Macaca mulatta: one gene and its partners. The protein of the gene in region 1 binds, or shares a complex with, the protein of each later gene. Links are inferred from orthologs where the notes say so. Each region holds a gene or a part of one and is shown on either strand. Other genes may lie near its edges.

Evidence for each region.
Region 2: the proteins of NAA35 (region 1) and NAA38 are in contact, whole or in part, in a cryo-EM structure (PDB 7MX2), measured with the Homo sapiens proteins. The link is inferred for Macaca mulatta from reciprocal best matches to the Homo sapiens genes NAA35 and NAA38. Residues at the interface, in NP_001308810.1 of Homo sapiens: Val30, Asp31, Ile32, Thr33, Phe36, Ala39, Cys40, Leu43, Leu45, Glu47, Leu48, Leu49, His50, Asp51, Phe54, Glu58, Ala59, Ala62, Ile63, Glu64, Met65, Met66, Ala72, Gly73, Met74, Gln306, Arg307, Leu309, Pro310, Pro311; in NP_001307854.1 of Homo sapiens: Ala41, Arg42, Leu45, Glu46, Leu48, Leu49, Arg61, Phe67, Leu68, Cys69, Thr70, Asp71, Arg72, Cys74, Ile77, Arg97, Val98, Leu99, Gly100, Leu101, Ala102, Met103, Val104, Pro105, His108, Ser111, Ile112, Glu113, Val114.
Region 3: the proteins of NAA35 (region 1) and NAA30 are in contact, whole or in part, in a cryo-EM structure (PDB 7MX2), measured with the Homo sapiens proteins. The link is inferred for Macaca mulatta from reciprocal best matches to the Homo sapiens genes NAA35 and NAA30. Residues at the interface, in NP_001308810.1 of Homo sapiens: Leu45, Gly46, Leu48, Leu56, Ala59, Met60, Ala62, Glu64, Lys69, Glu121, Phe313, Pro314, Arg315, Ala444, Leu510, Glu511, Leu512, Glu517, Pro605, Lys606, Phe607, Glu608, Leu609, Asp610, Val614, Arg615, His618, Arg619; in NP_001011713.2 of Homo sapiens: Glu221, Pro238, Ser240, Tyr242, Thr243, Arg245, Tyr246, His249, Asn250, Lys304, Ile324, Glu334, Asn335, Leu336, Gly337, Val339, Arg340, Asp341, Lys342, Arg343, Phe345, Arg346, Tyr347, Tyr348, Leu349, Leu359, Trp360, Leu361, Arg362.

What each region holds. Positions count from the first base shown.
Region 1 is NC_133420.1:116,830,221-116,834,764, forward strand, and holds part of NAA35 (N-alpha-acetyltransferase 35, NatC auxiliary subunit), read left to right. Parts: intron 1-784; coding exon 785-921; intron 922-1,717; coding exon 1,718-1,785; intron 1,786-2,472; coding exon 2,473-2,613; intron 2,614-2,916; coding exon 2,917-3,039; intron 3,040-4,544. UniProt on the Homo sapiens protein: Auxillary component of the N-terminal acetyltransferase C (NatC) complex which catalyzes acetylation of N-terminal methionine residues. N-terminal acetylation protects proteins from ubiquitination and degradation by the N-end rule pathway.
Region 2 is NC_133421.1:9,360,740-9,364,491, reverse strand, and holds NAA38 (N-alpha-acetyltransferase 38, NatC auxiliary subunit), read left to right. Parts: upstream 1-1,626; 5' UTR 1,627-1,722; coding exon 1,723-1,803; intron 1,804-1,988; coding exon 1,989-2,197; intron 2,198-2,338; coding exon 2,339-2,456; 3' UTR 2,457-2,502; downstream 2,503-3,752. Other genes in the region: CYB5D1 (cytochrome b5 domain containing 1), read right to left, coding at 12-536, 663-739, 895-1,054; TMEM88 (transmembrane protein 88), read right to left, coding at 3,474-3,743.
Region 3 is NC_133412.1:130,499,405-130,504,143, reverse strand, and holds the start of NAA30 (N-alpha-acetyltransferase 30), read right to left. Parts: upstream 3,467-4,739; 5' UTR 3,369-3,466; intron 3,104-3,368; 5' UTR 3,103-3,103; coding exon 2,329-3,102; intron 1-2,328. UniProt on the Homo sapiens protein: Catalytic subunit of the N-terminal acetyltransferase C (NatC) complex. Catalyzes acetylation of the N-terminal methionine residues of peptides beginning with Met-Leu-Ala and Met-Leu-Gly.

The DNA of each region.
Region 1 (4,544 bases):
TTTGAGAGGAAAAGGCTGCATCTTAGTTGTCCCCTTCACTCATGTGTCCTTAGGTTAGATAAACAGAAGGTAGACGGCACCGTCAGTTCCCTATAGAAATCCTTCACTTGAATTAAGGTATATGAGTTGTTACGGACTCTCACATTTTGTAGGGTGGCAGGGAAACAAAATTCAGTTATATACTGTAAAAGGGTACTATAGTAAATGTTTTTCTTAAATTCAGGGCCAGGAATTGTTTACTCTCCATATGTAATTATAGGTCTTACTATTATTGATTATGTTACGAAGTGTGTGTATATATATATGTCTCCTAGATTTGAAGACTTTTCTGGCTTAGCAGTGTTAAAGTTCTGAAAAATTAGTGTCTGGTAGAATGTTCTGTTTTATATTTTGTTTATTAAACTCAAGTAAATTGTAAATGTGAATGTTCTTAATTTTTAAGAATGATTGTATAATGCCAATAATTTTTTATCTTTTTCTGATTTTATTTGTGATTAAAATATTTATAGACTGAACTGAACTGTGTTCTGATATAATGAAAACTTAATGGGTATTCATTTGATTTGCATATGTACATGTATAATTATCAGGAAATCTGGAAAGTTGTAAAATGTTGAAAGGGAAAATTGATCCTTGTGTTCATTTCTTGTAAGATCTATAATCGAATGATCTGTTTTTAAAGACCTAAAGCATTATTTGAAGTGTCTATTGTTGTTAATATATGTGTTGATAAAGCTGTCTCATTTAGACATCTACCATTAACTAACATTTTGTATCCTTTAAGGTATCTCTCTGAATTCCTTTACGCATGGTTGATGTCAACATTGAGTCGTGCAGATGGCTCTCAAATGGCAGAGGAAAGGATAATGGAAGAGCAGCAGAAAGGCCGTAGTAGTAAAAAAACAAAGAAAAAAAAGAAAGGTGCTGTGGATTATTTTTAAACTTAAAAACAGAATGTACTTTAATTTCTACAAATAAATAGATGGAGCTACTTGTGAGTTAGTCATTATATTTTAGCTCTTGTTCCTTTTCTTTTCAGAAACTATAAGGTAGAGACTGAGTCCCAGTATTAATGACATAAGCTTTTTGGTTCCTTTCCTTGCTTTCATTTCTTTGCTGTTCTATCAGAATCTTTGATCAAGAAGTAGCCACGTGGCGTGTGCAAGCAAGATACAGGTTAGGGGACAAGACAGCAGGAGGCCATGGACCTTTTGACAGAGCCTGATAGCTCAGGAGGGCAGTAGTTCTGGAGCTGTGCTGTGGTAGTGGGCACCAAAAGGTGCCTTGAAGAACCATGAGGACAGAGAACTGTTTCAAAGGGACTGCCCTATTGATCACTTAGGGAAGGCTATAGATATTGCTACAATTATGGTAAAATACTGTTTCATATTTCCTCAGGACTTAAAGCAATTTGGAGGGGTCATTAAATCACTGTATTCATGGGTTTCCTTTAAAAGGTTAAATCTCTGGTGAATTCAGAAAAGTTATAATTACTTTATACTGGAATTTTATAGTATTAGCTATTTGGGGACATGATTATTATATTTTATTATTTGTAGATTTTGACCATAAATAACATTTAACCTGTAGGAACAAACTGAAGTTTTAATTTAGTATACAAGCTGGAAGATTTTTTAAAATTAGATTTTCTTTTCCAATAATGCAAGAGGAAGGAGGAAGAGATTATGGAAGATTATGTTTTTCTTTCTAATTACAGTTCGCCCTTTGAGCCGAGAGATCACAATGAGCCAAGCATATCAGAACATGTGTGCTGGGATGTTTAAAGTAAGTTGTTGAAAGTAAAGTTCTTTTTACCTTTTAGCTGTATGTCTATTATATAGTTTATTTAAACTCTTTTCTGTGGTTCTTTCCAGATTGTAATTTCACCTTTGTTTTACTTTATCTGCTTGAGGATTACCTTTATTATCATTAATTTGTTCAACAACCATTTGAACCCTTGCTATGTGTGAGATACTTTGTACTGAGTACATTGCAGGGGATACCAATTCTATATGGTCCTTGTTTCAAGTCTGTAGCAACAGACCAGTTGATGTGTCTGTGACAGGTAGTAAGAAAAGGCAGAGAGTACTAATGATTGATGATCAGGCAAGGCTTCCTGGAAGAGATGGAGGTTAGGTTTTTTAGGAGTGTATTTGGAAGAGGGTGAGCTCCACAACCAATGACTTAAGCAAAAGCAGGCCTTTTCAAGAGGCAGTGGGTACTAACTCTTAAGTTGTACTTGGCAGTCCAAGAAATCATTTGAGGCAACTTACATGAAAATGCATAAAGCAAAACATGGACTTTGTTTGAAAATAGGACCTGTGCTTATGACAATTATATGTCCTCATTTTTTCAGAAGCGTTTACTTGAAGGTTTTAAATAGCTGTTTCTTGTCTTCTATTCCGTATTGATGAGAGTGTTCGCTTTTTTCATATTGATTTCATCTTTTTTCTTGTTCCCTTTTTCATTTAGACCATGGTTGCATTTGACATGGATGGCAAAGTACGTAAACCGAAGTTTGAGCTTGATAGTGAACAAGTTCGGTATGAGCACAGGTTTGCTCCGTTCAACAGTGTGATGACCCCGCCGCCCGTGCATTACTTACAATTCAAGGTGAACCTGCTCAAGGAAATCGTTCAGAAATCTTCAGTCTTAGACCTTCTTAGAGAGATGCTGTTTGTACCTAGCCATCTTGTTAAATTTACAGTTATTTAAATTGTAAGAATAATGTGAGGTAGCATATGAGGGTTGAGAATTACATATTACCTAGGGAAAAATAGGGAGATGTGCCAAATGTTTGCCCCAGTGTCTGTATATGAGTGGATAGAAAATGTAGAATTCTTTAATAATTAGAAATGGGAGTTTAGAGTTGTTCATATTAAACATGTTTTGAATTATATTTCCCCTTCTTTTTAGGAAATGTCTGACCTCAATAAATATAGCCCTCCTCCTCAGTCTCCTGAATTGTATGTGGCAGCTAGTAAGCACTTTCAGCAGGCAAAAATGATATTGGAAAATATTCCTAACCCGGACCATGAGGTAAGACTGGATTCACAGTAATTTTAAGGGAAAAGCGTGGCAGGAAATACATCTCTTACTGCTGGATGAAAGTTAATTATGAAAGTGAACTTTAATAGTGTTAGTGAATATAACTTGTCATGTTTCTGTGAAAGATTTTGGATAGTTTTGTCAAACTAACCTTGTCAGACTTCAAGTTATTTTAAGAATGAGGTGATGTAAATACCTGCTTTGTGTAAATTTAGAAGTCAATGCAAAGACAAATTATGACTCACAGTCATGAAGTAAAAAGGATAAGCATAAGATCCAGACTGATCTGATTCATAGCTCAAAATGTTAGCATTGAAACATTTCTGGTTTAATCAGTTTGTTAAGGGGGCCGGGCGTGGTGGCTCACACCTGTAATCTCAGCAGTTTGGGAGGCCCAGGTGGGTGGATCACCTGAGGTCAGGAGTTTGAGACCAGCCTGGCCAACGTGGTGAAACCTCGTTTCTACTAACAGTGCAAAAAATTAGCTGGGCATGGTGGTGCATGCCTGTCTGTAATCCCAGCTACTTGGGAGGCTGAGGCAAGAGAATCATTTGAACCCCAAGGTGGAGGTTGCAGTGAGCCAAGATTGTGCCGTTGCACTCTAGCCTGGGCGACAAGCGAAACTCCATCTCAAAAAAAAAAAACAAAATTATTAAAACGTAACTAAGTTTTACATAAATATGAAAAATGACCTGGCCAGTTGTCACAGAAACCACCTTATTCCACTTGACCATTTAAAATAAAGGCTATTGCTTTTGAAGACTCTGAGATATCAAAATAAACTTGGGGAAAAAAATTGTTTCAGGCTTTTGGTATTTTAATAATTTACCATATCCCTAATTTTATTGAAATACATTTATTTTCTAAAAGTTACCTGTAATGCGCACATACTGTTTTGGGAAGTATATCTTGGGACCACTTCCACAGAGGGGTAGCTTAGCAGTATTTGTCAAAAATCATTAATGCTTAGATCCAGCAGTTCTGCTTTTTGGGATTTATATAGATACATGAACACATACAGGAAGTGAGAGTGATGAACATAAGAGTATTCATTGCAGCAGGATTTCTAATAGCAAAAAGCAGGAAGAAACAGTATCCATCAACAGGGGACTGATACATGATGATACATTCATACAGTGGTATACTACCCAGCCTTAAGGAGGATGAGGAAGCTCTTTACGTACTGTGATGGAATGCTCCGTATGATTTAAGAAATCTAAAAAGAAAGGCGCACTTTAATATGCATAATATGGTGCAGTTTCAATCAAAGGGGGCAAGGGAAGCCTATATGTATGTGTGCGAGTATAAAATATCTTTAGAAAGATAATATCAGAATTGGTAGTTTTGTTTCCTTCCTTGGAGGGAAGCAGAGTGCCTGGACGAGGGATAGGGGAGACACGTTTTAAAAATGATATGTACCATCTAAGAAAATATAAAGGGGGAGTCTAAACATTTGAGGAGCTACCTATGATAGATGACATATTTCATTTAGTGAA
Region 2 (3,752 bases), on another chromosome or scaffold:
AATAGAGTAGATTAAAAAGAAAGTTCAATTGCTGTCCAAAACAGCGTGTAAGAGTTTTGAAGGACCACCATCACTAAGATGCATAAACTGCTGTTCCCAGGCTTATAAAGGAGTCTCTTGTCCCCGTGTGACCCAGACACTCCTAGAATTACCAACCCTGGGGACCTAGGTGCTGTGCTTTCCTCAGTTGCCTCAATGTAAAGGGCAGAAAATACACTCCCACTGGTTATGGAAAAAAATGTTGCCCTGCAGATCGGCCTGGAGATTTGCTGGGATTCCCCATTCCCTCTAACCTGCTCCTTGTCACCAGTTCTCACCTCCAGTGTGTGCTCCTGCGACGTGAGTGTGTTAATGATGCGGATGCTCCGGGTCTTGGCAGACAGCCGCCCCACCTCATAATACGACCCCTGCCACCAGGGCTTCCCAAAATCGTTGGCCCAGTCCGAACAGGGCAGCTGAGGCGGAACGTGCACAAAGCGACCCCGCGGGGTGCAGTACCTCAGGCAGCCGGTCAGCGGATCTATGTGCTTGCGGATCTTTAAAGGAGGGTTTGGGGCGAGGGGATCAGAGCAGTCATTATGCTCTGGCTAGCCTCCGCTTTTCCTTCCCATCCCCGCTCTCCATTGCCTCTACCCACAACCCCAGATTTCAGCATAACTCACGTCTTTGGTCTTTGGATCAAACCAGTGGCTGATGTCCTGGCCTGCAACTTCCACTATAGGTTTCAGCAGCAGGTTCCCTTGAAAAGAGCAGCCACGGTCAATGCCAGCCCTTCAAGAACCAGGCAGACGCGCGCGCGCGCCCGCACACACACACACACATACACACACACACACACACACACACACACACACACACACACACTCCGGCCCCGGCCCAACGTGTGACCCTTACCCTTGTATTCCTGTGCCAATGACGTTAGGTCGTACACGCGTCCCAAGTAAGATACCCAGAGGTCTTCGGGCCTGTTATGTTGGGCCACCTCCGCCGGCGTGAAATAGCGACGCTGAAAATACTCCAAATCTGGCCCAGCCACCAGGCCCCGGCGCGGCATGGCTCTTGCTCTGTCAGTCACTGGCTCTCTTGGTTACTCCTTTGCTCCTCAGCACGCACTCACTACTACTACGACCTCCGTCGCGTCCGGGAGCCGAGGGGAGAGCGTTTATCCGCTGACATGGAAACCATTGTCCTTTTCCGGCCACCGTCCACTGAGATAAATATCAGGAGGTGAGGCTTGGACCGCACGTGTTCACGGGAAATGTAGTATGAGTCCCACACGGGGCATATAAGGATCAAGTAATTGAGTTGCGCCGCTTTCAGGAGTTGGGGGTGGGCAGAAAACGAATACGCTCCGTTTTAATTTAGCGGCCTGGGCTACATGGGATATTTATGACAGACTATCTCTCTGAGACAGAAAAACAAGGGAGGAGGCAGTATGAGAGTGTATTCTCGCTAAATTCCAGAGTTTCTAAAGGATGTGTAAGAAAGTAGAGGTAAAGGTCTCGCGATATCGTAAGACATCCGGCGTGGTACGCTTCAGTGAGCCACAGCGCTAGAAGTAGGAGAAGCTCGCGAGATCTCTGCCGTTGCCGAGGAGACTAGGAGGTGGAGGAGAGGTGATCTCGCGAAAGGAAAGCGGTCGGGAGCGCTCGCGAGATCTCGGACCACCCAACCTGAAAGGTGCTTAGGAAGTTGAAAGGCCCAGAGGAGGCCTCCGGGCAAATGGCCGGAGCTGGACCGACCATGCTGCTACGAGAAGAGAATGGCTGTTGCAGTCGGCGTCAGAGCAGCTCCAGCGCCGGGGTTAGCACGGGCTCTGGTTCTGGGATTGAGGGGCAGTCGAGCAGCAAGATGGAGGGGGTGGGGGAACTGCAGCTCCCGGCAGCCTCTGGGCGTTGTGTGAGCGCCCCGCGGGCTGCCGGGAGCTGTGGTTCCGCGGGCGGGCAGCCGGGACTGCGCGGTCTGAGCGCTTGTTCCACCCCGCGCAGGATTCGGACGGAGAGCGCGAGGACTCGGCGGCTGCGCGCGCCCGGCAGCAGCTAGAGGCGCTGCTCAACAAAACTATGCGCATTCGCATGACAGATGGACGGACACTGGTGGGCTGCTTCCTCTGCACTGACCGTGACTGCAATGTCATCCTGGGCTCGGCGCAGGAGTTCCTCAAGCCGTCGGGTCAGTGCCTGGGGAATGCACACCCGCCTGGAAATGTGGCGGAACCTTACGCAAGGCATTTCCCCTTCAGGGCCTGGCTGCAGCCCTTGTTTTCTGGGGCTCGTTTTTGTGGCTCAGAGGGGCGGTACTGATGCCGGCCTGCTTCCCTGATCCTCTGATCCTTCTTTCCAGATTCCTTCTCTGCCGGGGAGCCCCGTGTGCTGGGCTTGGCCATGGTACCCGGACACCACATCGTTTCCATTGAGGTGCAGAGGGAGAGTCTGACCGGGCCTCCATATCTCTGACCACGGTGGCGCATACCTTTCAGACTTCATTAAACTTACGACCGAATGGACCTGTGTCTGTGTGTAGCTGGGATGCCAGTACAGGGATAGGACACCCCACCCCTAGAGGAAAGGACTCATCTGAAGTCGGGAGCACCCTCAACCCTCCTCTACCAACCGGGATGTCCAGGGGTGCCAAAGGTTCTCTCAAGTTCAGGGGTAGAGATGGGGGACAGGGCTGAATGATGCACCAACAGGCCCCAGGGTGGGCCCCTGCATCTTCCCTCCCACGCTGCTGCTCCAGAATTGTGGCGGGAGGGGGTGTCATCCTGCTCCGGAAGGCCCATTGTTTCCCACCCCGGCCTGGCAACACCGAGTTCCTTTAAGCTGGGGTCAGAGAACGGGCTCAGGTCCCCAAGGGGAGCAGGGGCAGGCGGCCGAGGCTGGGCCCCCTCCACTCTATTGATGGGGAGGTGCCTGGGGTCAGGGACAGATCTCTGAGTTCTGGCCAGGAAGAACGGACAAAAGCGATAAGGCCAGGGGGCTGAAGGATGCTCCTCTCTGCTCATTTGTGGCCCTGGCACATGTTTCCTGTTCCTCGGCACAGGGCAGGGGTGATAGTACTTGTGCCACTCCTGTGTTTGCAGAGCACGTTGAGTTCGTTAAATCTTTATTGATGCGTGGACACTCCTTCCCCTCCAGCCCCGCCCCCCAGCCCCGGAAATACTGGAGGAGCTGCACCTTAAAAGGAGGGCACGAGATTGTTGTCCCATTCACGACGGGGCTGAGGGGAAGGTGTGCAGGTTCCAGCCCAGATGTTCAGGATTGAGATGTGGGTAGTGAAAGGAAAGTGGGTTTTCCGGGATGTGGGGGCTTTCCTCAGCATTGGGTCCACTGACGCTGCTGCTCCCAAGGGGATGCTAGGACTCCGCTCAGGCAGGGGTGGGGGCAGGGCAGGTCGGAAGATGCCGGGCTTCAAGTCCTTGGGCCGAGTAAGAAGGAGGGCAGCCGTCAGGGTTGTTCTTGACTCGAGGGTCATTAGACCCAGACCTTTCCTGATGTAGGAACGGCCTGGGACCCTGGTGAGGCCCGGGTTTGCCGCGGATGCGGCGCGCGCCGACGCCGATAAAGGGCTCGGCTGTAGGGCACCAGGCAATCGGCTAGGCGGAGGCGCAGGCAGAGGCGGCGGTAGCTGGCCAGAGCAAGCACGAGCAGCGGCACGAGGAGCAGGAATCCGGTGACCAGAAGGGCCGTGAAACCGGGGTCCCGCAGGTGCGCGGTGCAAGGGGGTGCCTGGGAGCGCAGGAACTGTGGGAG
Region 3 (4,739 bases), on another chromosome or scaffold:
GTACAGAGTAACTGAAAGTGTCTCACATTTGTATTTTTTTTTTTAACATCTTTCACAATTAGGAAGAATCATAATAAGCTACCATTTTTGTTAATCAAGTATTGGCAATTTTGTAAGGTTCAACCCCATATAGTCCATTGACCCATTACAGGTTATCCATAGAAAAAAGCAACATTTTGGAGGTTTCTAATCTCTTGAGATTGCTGTTTGTAAGGGCAACTGTCTCTTGGTGGAGATAACTTGCTGACACAATAATCTTCACTGAATGGATCAAGAGTATGTCATTTTTCAGGTTCTTATGTTACCATAATGAGAGGCCAGGAGAACTGGGTTCTAGCTTTACCCTTCTGTCAGTAAATATCTGGAGACTGAAACATTTTGAGTCACTTTGGTTCTTTTTTTCAATCAAAAACCAAAACAGAACAAAACCTAAGTTGGGCTGGATTATCTCTAGGATGCCTTTCAGTTCTAAAAGGTTATGATTTAAAATAAACATACACATTTACGCATTTGCATTTTTTAAAAAATAGTTCCTATGGGAAACTTAAATGTAAAAGTATGCCAAGATAAAGGTTTCAGTTTTAAATGGCCTGGTTGTTTTTTAACTACTGTTTTATTATTGTTTAATACCTCCTGATTCATACTGGCACTAGTAAATCTTATAGGTCAACCACTTGTGCATATTGCAATTTCTAGATATTCAGAATTTAATATTAAACAAACGAGCTACTAAAGGCTAACACACACATTAGCTGGTGAATTGGAAGGGTTCTACATAAAATCAAAACTAAAGTTTACTAATATTGTTGACCAGAGTCTAAAATGGCAGACAAGTTGAGAAAGGCTTAGGTAAACATCAGGACTCAAAAGTTGACTGAATATTATATACACAACAATTTCCTGGAATTGACAGAAAAACATCTATTTCAATTTGAAATGTGACTCAATCATCTGCTTCTGTGGGTTAACTTACAACTAAATCTGCAATTTTTAGCAATTACAGTGGCATTTGATATGACATTTATAATACTGCTATAAATCATTTTCTCATATTCACTGACATAGACATGTCTTAGAACTATTCTGATACAATGCTTAGAATACTGAAAGAGCAGTTTTCAAGAACATAAAATAGCACCCACAGTTTAAACAAATGTACTGAAGTTTAAGCAAAGTTAAGACAGAAAATAGAACTACCATTATCTACAATACCCAGGTTACATTTTCAAATTACCACCAAGCTAGATAATCAAAAGGACAGGGAAGTATTGTCAAAATATCTTGCAGGGAATTACTAAGTGAAACTAAGCCAATGCTAAAACACTAAGTAACGGTGGCTTTTCCCTTCACATATTATAAAATATTCCTTAAATGGATGTCATCTAGAAACAATATGCTTGTGAGTACATGATACAAAGCATACACCTGCAGTCAACAGTTAAGTTAAAGGGTTCATAGAGACTGAAATGGGCCAATATTATTGTGAAGAAATTACTGGTACTGCCAATACTACGTAAATTTTTAAAAACTGTCCAAAGTCTTTCACTTATGTGTAATATTATTGCCAATTATAATTTACACAAGCCAGTGTTACTAGTGTTTGGCCACATCTTCAACCAGTTTCTAAATTAAAAAAAAATAAAATCAGATCGGTAACAATTTCACACTTAAGTTTTCTACATTCCACAAAAGGGTATTTTTGTTCAAGTTTCAGGAGTCTTTCAGTCACCAATAGTGTTAGTAGCGCTTTCTGCAATGGAGTACCAGAAAGCAGGCTGGCTACAACTGTTCATTGTCCTGTTGAAGTAAAGGGAAACATCTCCATAATTACTGAAAATGCTTGTAAGATTTAATTCTCCAATATGGCCACACCAAGTTTGCTGACATTCATGTTCACCAAAACATGTTTATGCATACACTCTTCCCTGATTATAGTTGTAACTGAGAGACTAAAAGGCCTCTATCCAAACAGAACCATGTTCAAATTAAATTACTGTGAAGTGTTTGAGGATGCGGGCAGGCAATTAAAGACGGTTAAACACGATTATAATCTAATGTAAACAAGACACAAGACCCCCACCCCAGTGAAACACGCCACCATACAGGCTTGCTGCAGTTACACTAGTATCACGTTAACCCGAATCATGAAGTCTTACCTTCAAAACAGTTTCATTAAATAACTAGGAATGTGTACACGCACTTGACACCATATAACGTACTATGATAAGCAGCAGGAGATATCCACTGCCACACTCTGGGCCCTCGCTCCCTGCCCCGCACAGTCTGGATCACTGCTGGGTTCACCCTCTTTTTATTCTATCCACTTACCAAGAAGCACAGCTGTGGCCAGTTGTGGATAAAATATCTATAGGTATAAATGGAGTAGGGTTCGGACAGATCTTTGGTGATCAGTCTCATGATATCGGGCATTTGTAGCTCGGATTCATATCGGACATATCGTATCGTCCGATCCTCTCCAGGCTCAACCTCCCTGCCCGAAGGGCTTCTTAAGCTGCAGTCGGCGGTCAGGGACGAAGACAGCAGCCGCACCTGCTCGTCTTCCTCCTCTTCCTCCTGCTCGGTGCCCTCGGCCAGTCCATTGCGGGCCGCCGCGGGATCGCTGGCCGCCGCTGCCTCCGCCGGGCTGGGGACCGCAGTTCTTGCATTATTAGAGAGGGAGTGAGGGGGCCTCTCGCCCGAGTGTACCCCGGCTCCTTTTGTTGCAGTCGCTCTGGGGCCTCCGTCAGGGGTGGCCGTGGTCGCGGCCACCTCGGCTACGCTCAGGACCTTGCTCTTGAGGGAGGCGGCCGCCCGGAGGTGCCGCAGTTCGGGGCTAATCAATCCGTTGAGCTGCTGCTGCTCCTGCGGCGGCTGAGGGCAGCGGAGGCACGGATGCCCCTTGGTCGCCACAGTCGCCGACTCCCCGCCCGCCGGGCTCCTGCCGCCGCCGCCGCCTTCGTGCTCCTCGTCGTCCTCCTCGTCCTCGCTGCAGCAGGCGAGGGCGGCCCCCGCCGGGAAGGGACAGTGGGGCTCGGCCGCCGCCGGGGCCGGAGGTGCTGGTGGTGGGAGGAGGCTGCTAGGCCCAGGCGGTACCTCCGCCATCCTAGAAGCGACACAGACCGAGAGGGGAGGCCATGAAACCCGGCCGAAGAGCGCGGAAAAGAGGGGGCGGCGGGTGGGGGGCGGCCGAGGTGGGGGGAACAAAGACAGAAACCGTCCCTCACGGAGCTGCCCCCCCAATTCCGCGCCACCCCCCCCCGCTCTTCAGCGCCGCCCAGCTGCTCAACCGGCCACCGTCCCCGTCCGCCCGGGCCCACCCGCCAGCCCTGTCACTCGCGGCCCCTCCCCGTCCCCTCCTCGCGGCTCACCCCGCACGGGTCCCCGCCGCCGCTGCCGCCACTCCTCTTCCTCAGCCACTGCGGCCGCCTCCTTCGCAGCCGCGGCCGCCTCCACAGCCTCCAAGGCTCTCACTCAGCCGCCGTCGCCGTAAAGCGCCTCGGCTGTTACCCCGGGTAAAGTTTCCTGGGCCTGGCTTTACGACACTTCCCTGCCTGCCGGCTGCCCCGGCCAAGAGAGAGGGGCGTGGAGGGAGGTGACCTGTGGAGGGGCGGGGACGAAGGTGTCTCCTGCGGGCTGCGGGGAAGGCCGCGTGGTAGTGGGTGGGGCTCTGGGGCCGGGAAGTTGCAGAGGGCTTTGGAGTCACAGCCTCCCAAACCCTTCTCCTCGGTTCTGGGGCGCCTCAACCCGTGGTGCTTGCCACGCGGGGCCGGGGAGGGATGTACCGGGCAGGCGCTCCCTGCTTCAAGTCTACCGTGCACTGGGAGCTGTAGCGAATCTCGCCAATTCGGGGCCTCTGGAACCAGCCGTTTACAAGTCACCTAAAAATGCCTTTTTAAAGCTGCACAGCGTTTAATGTTTGCCCTGACCAGGGGCAAGGAGGATGGGGGAGGAGCGATTAAAAATGGAGCAAATCAGGGAAGCCGACCGAAAAGGAAAGGAAGCTTTGAGCTGTGAAAATATGGGGATGGCTGTCGAAACGTGGTCGTTTGCAGTTTGAATTAAGTTCAGCTGGCCCTTGCCACTTAGCGGCAAGGGAATCAGCCCTCTTCTCTCTCCTTACTCTGCTCCTCGCGCCCAGTAAAATTGGAGGCAAAAGTGACTGACAGGTGTTGGGCAATTGCGAGCACACCTGGGGAAGGGTTAGAGCGAGATGGTGAAAGACTGTGACCAGGGCTAAGAAGCACAATCCTAAACTTGTGACACAAATAGGTTAGGAAGAATTCACTGGTAAACAGGTGGCCTGATCCTCCCAAGGGATCTGCCTATTGAGTGCAAAGGGGATAGAACTTGAGCTTGTGACTGGGCTCCTTCTGCTCTAGTCCACAGTTGACTCCCGGCAGGTGTGAGCTGAGACAGTGTATGTAACCCGCACACTGAACAAATTCGGTTGTGTTAAAAACCTGATTTATACAGCTGGTTTGGTGTGCCGCAGATGGACGTTTGCGGTATATAATTCTATGACGGAACATGTTGGCAACTTTTTGCAATAATCTAAACTCTACGTATAAAATAACTATTATGCTCATAGATTCTGTGGCTCTGAAATCCAGACAGAGCACAGCTGGGATGGCTTTTCTCTACTCCATTATGCGTAGGGCTTCAATTGGAAGACTCCAAGGCTGAGGAGTAGAATTACTTGAAAACTTCAATTTCACAGCTGGTGGTTGATGCAGGCTAAA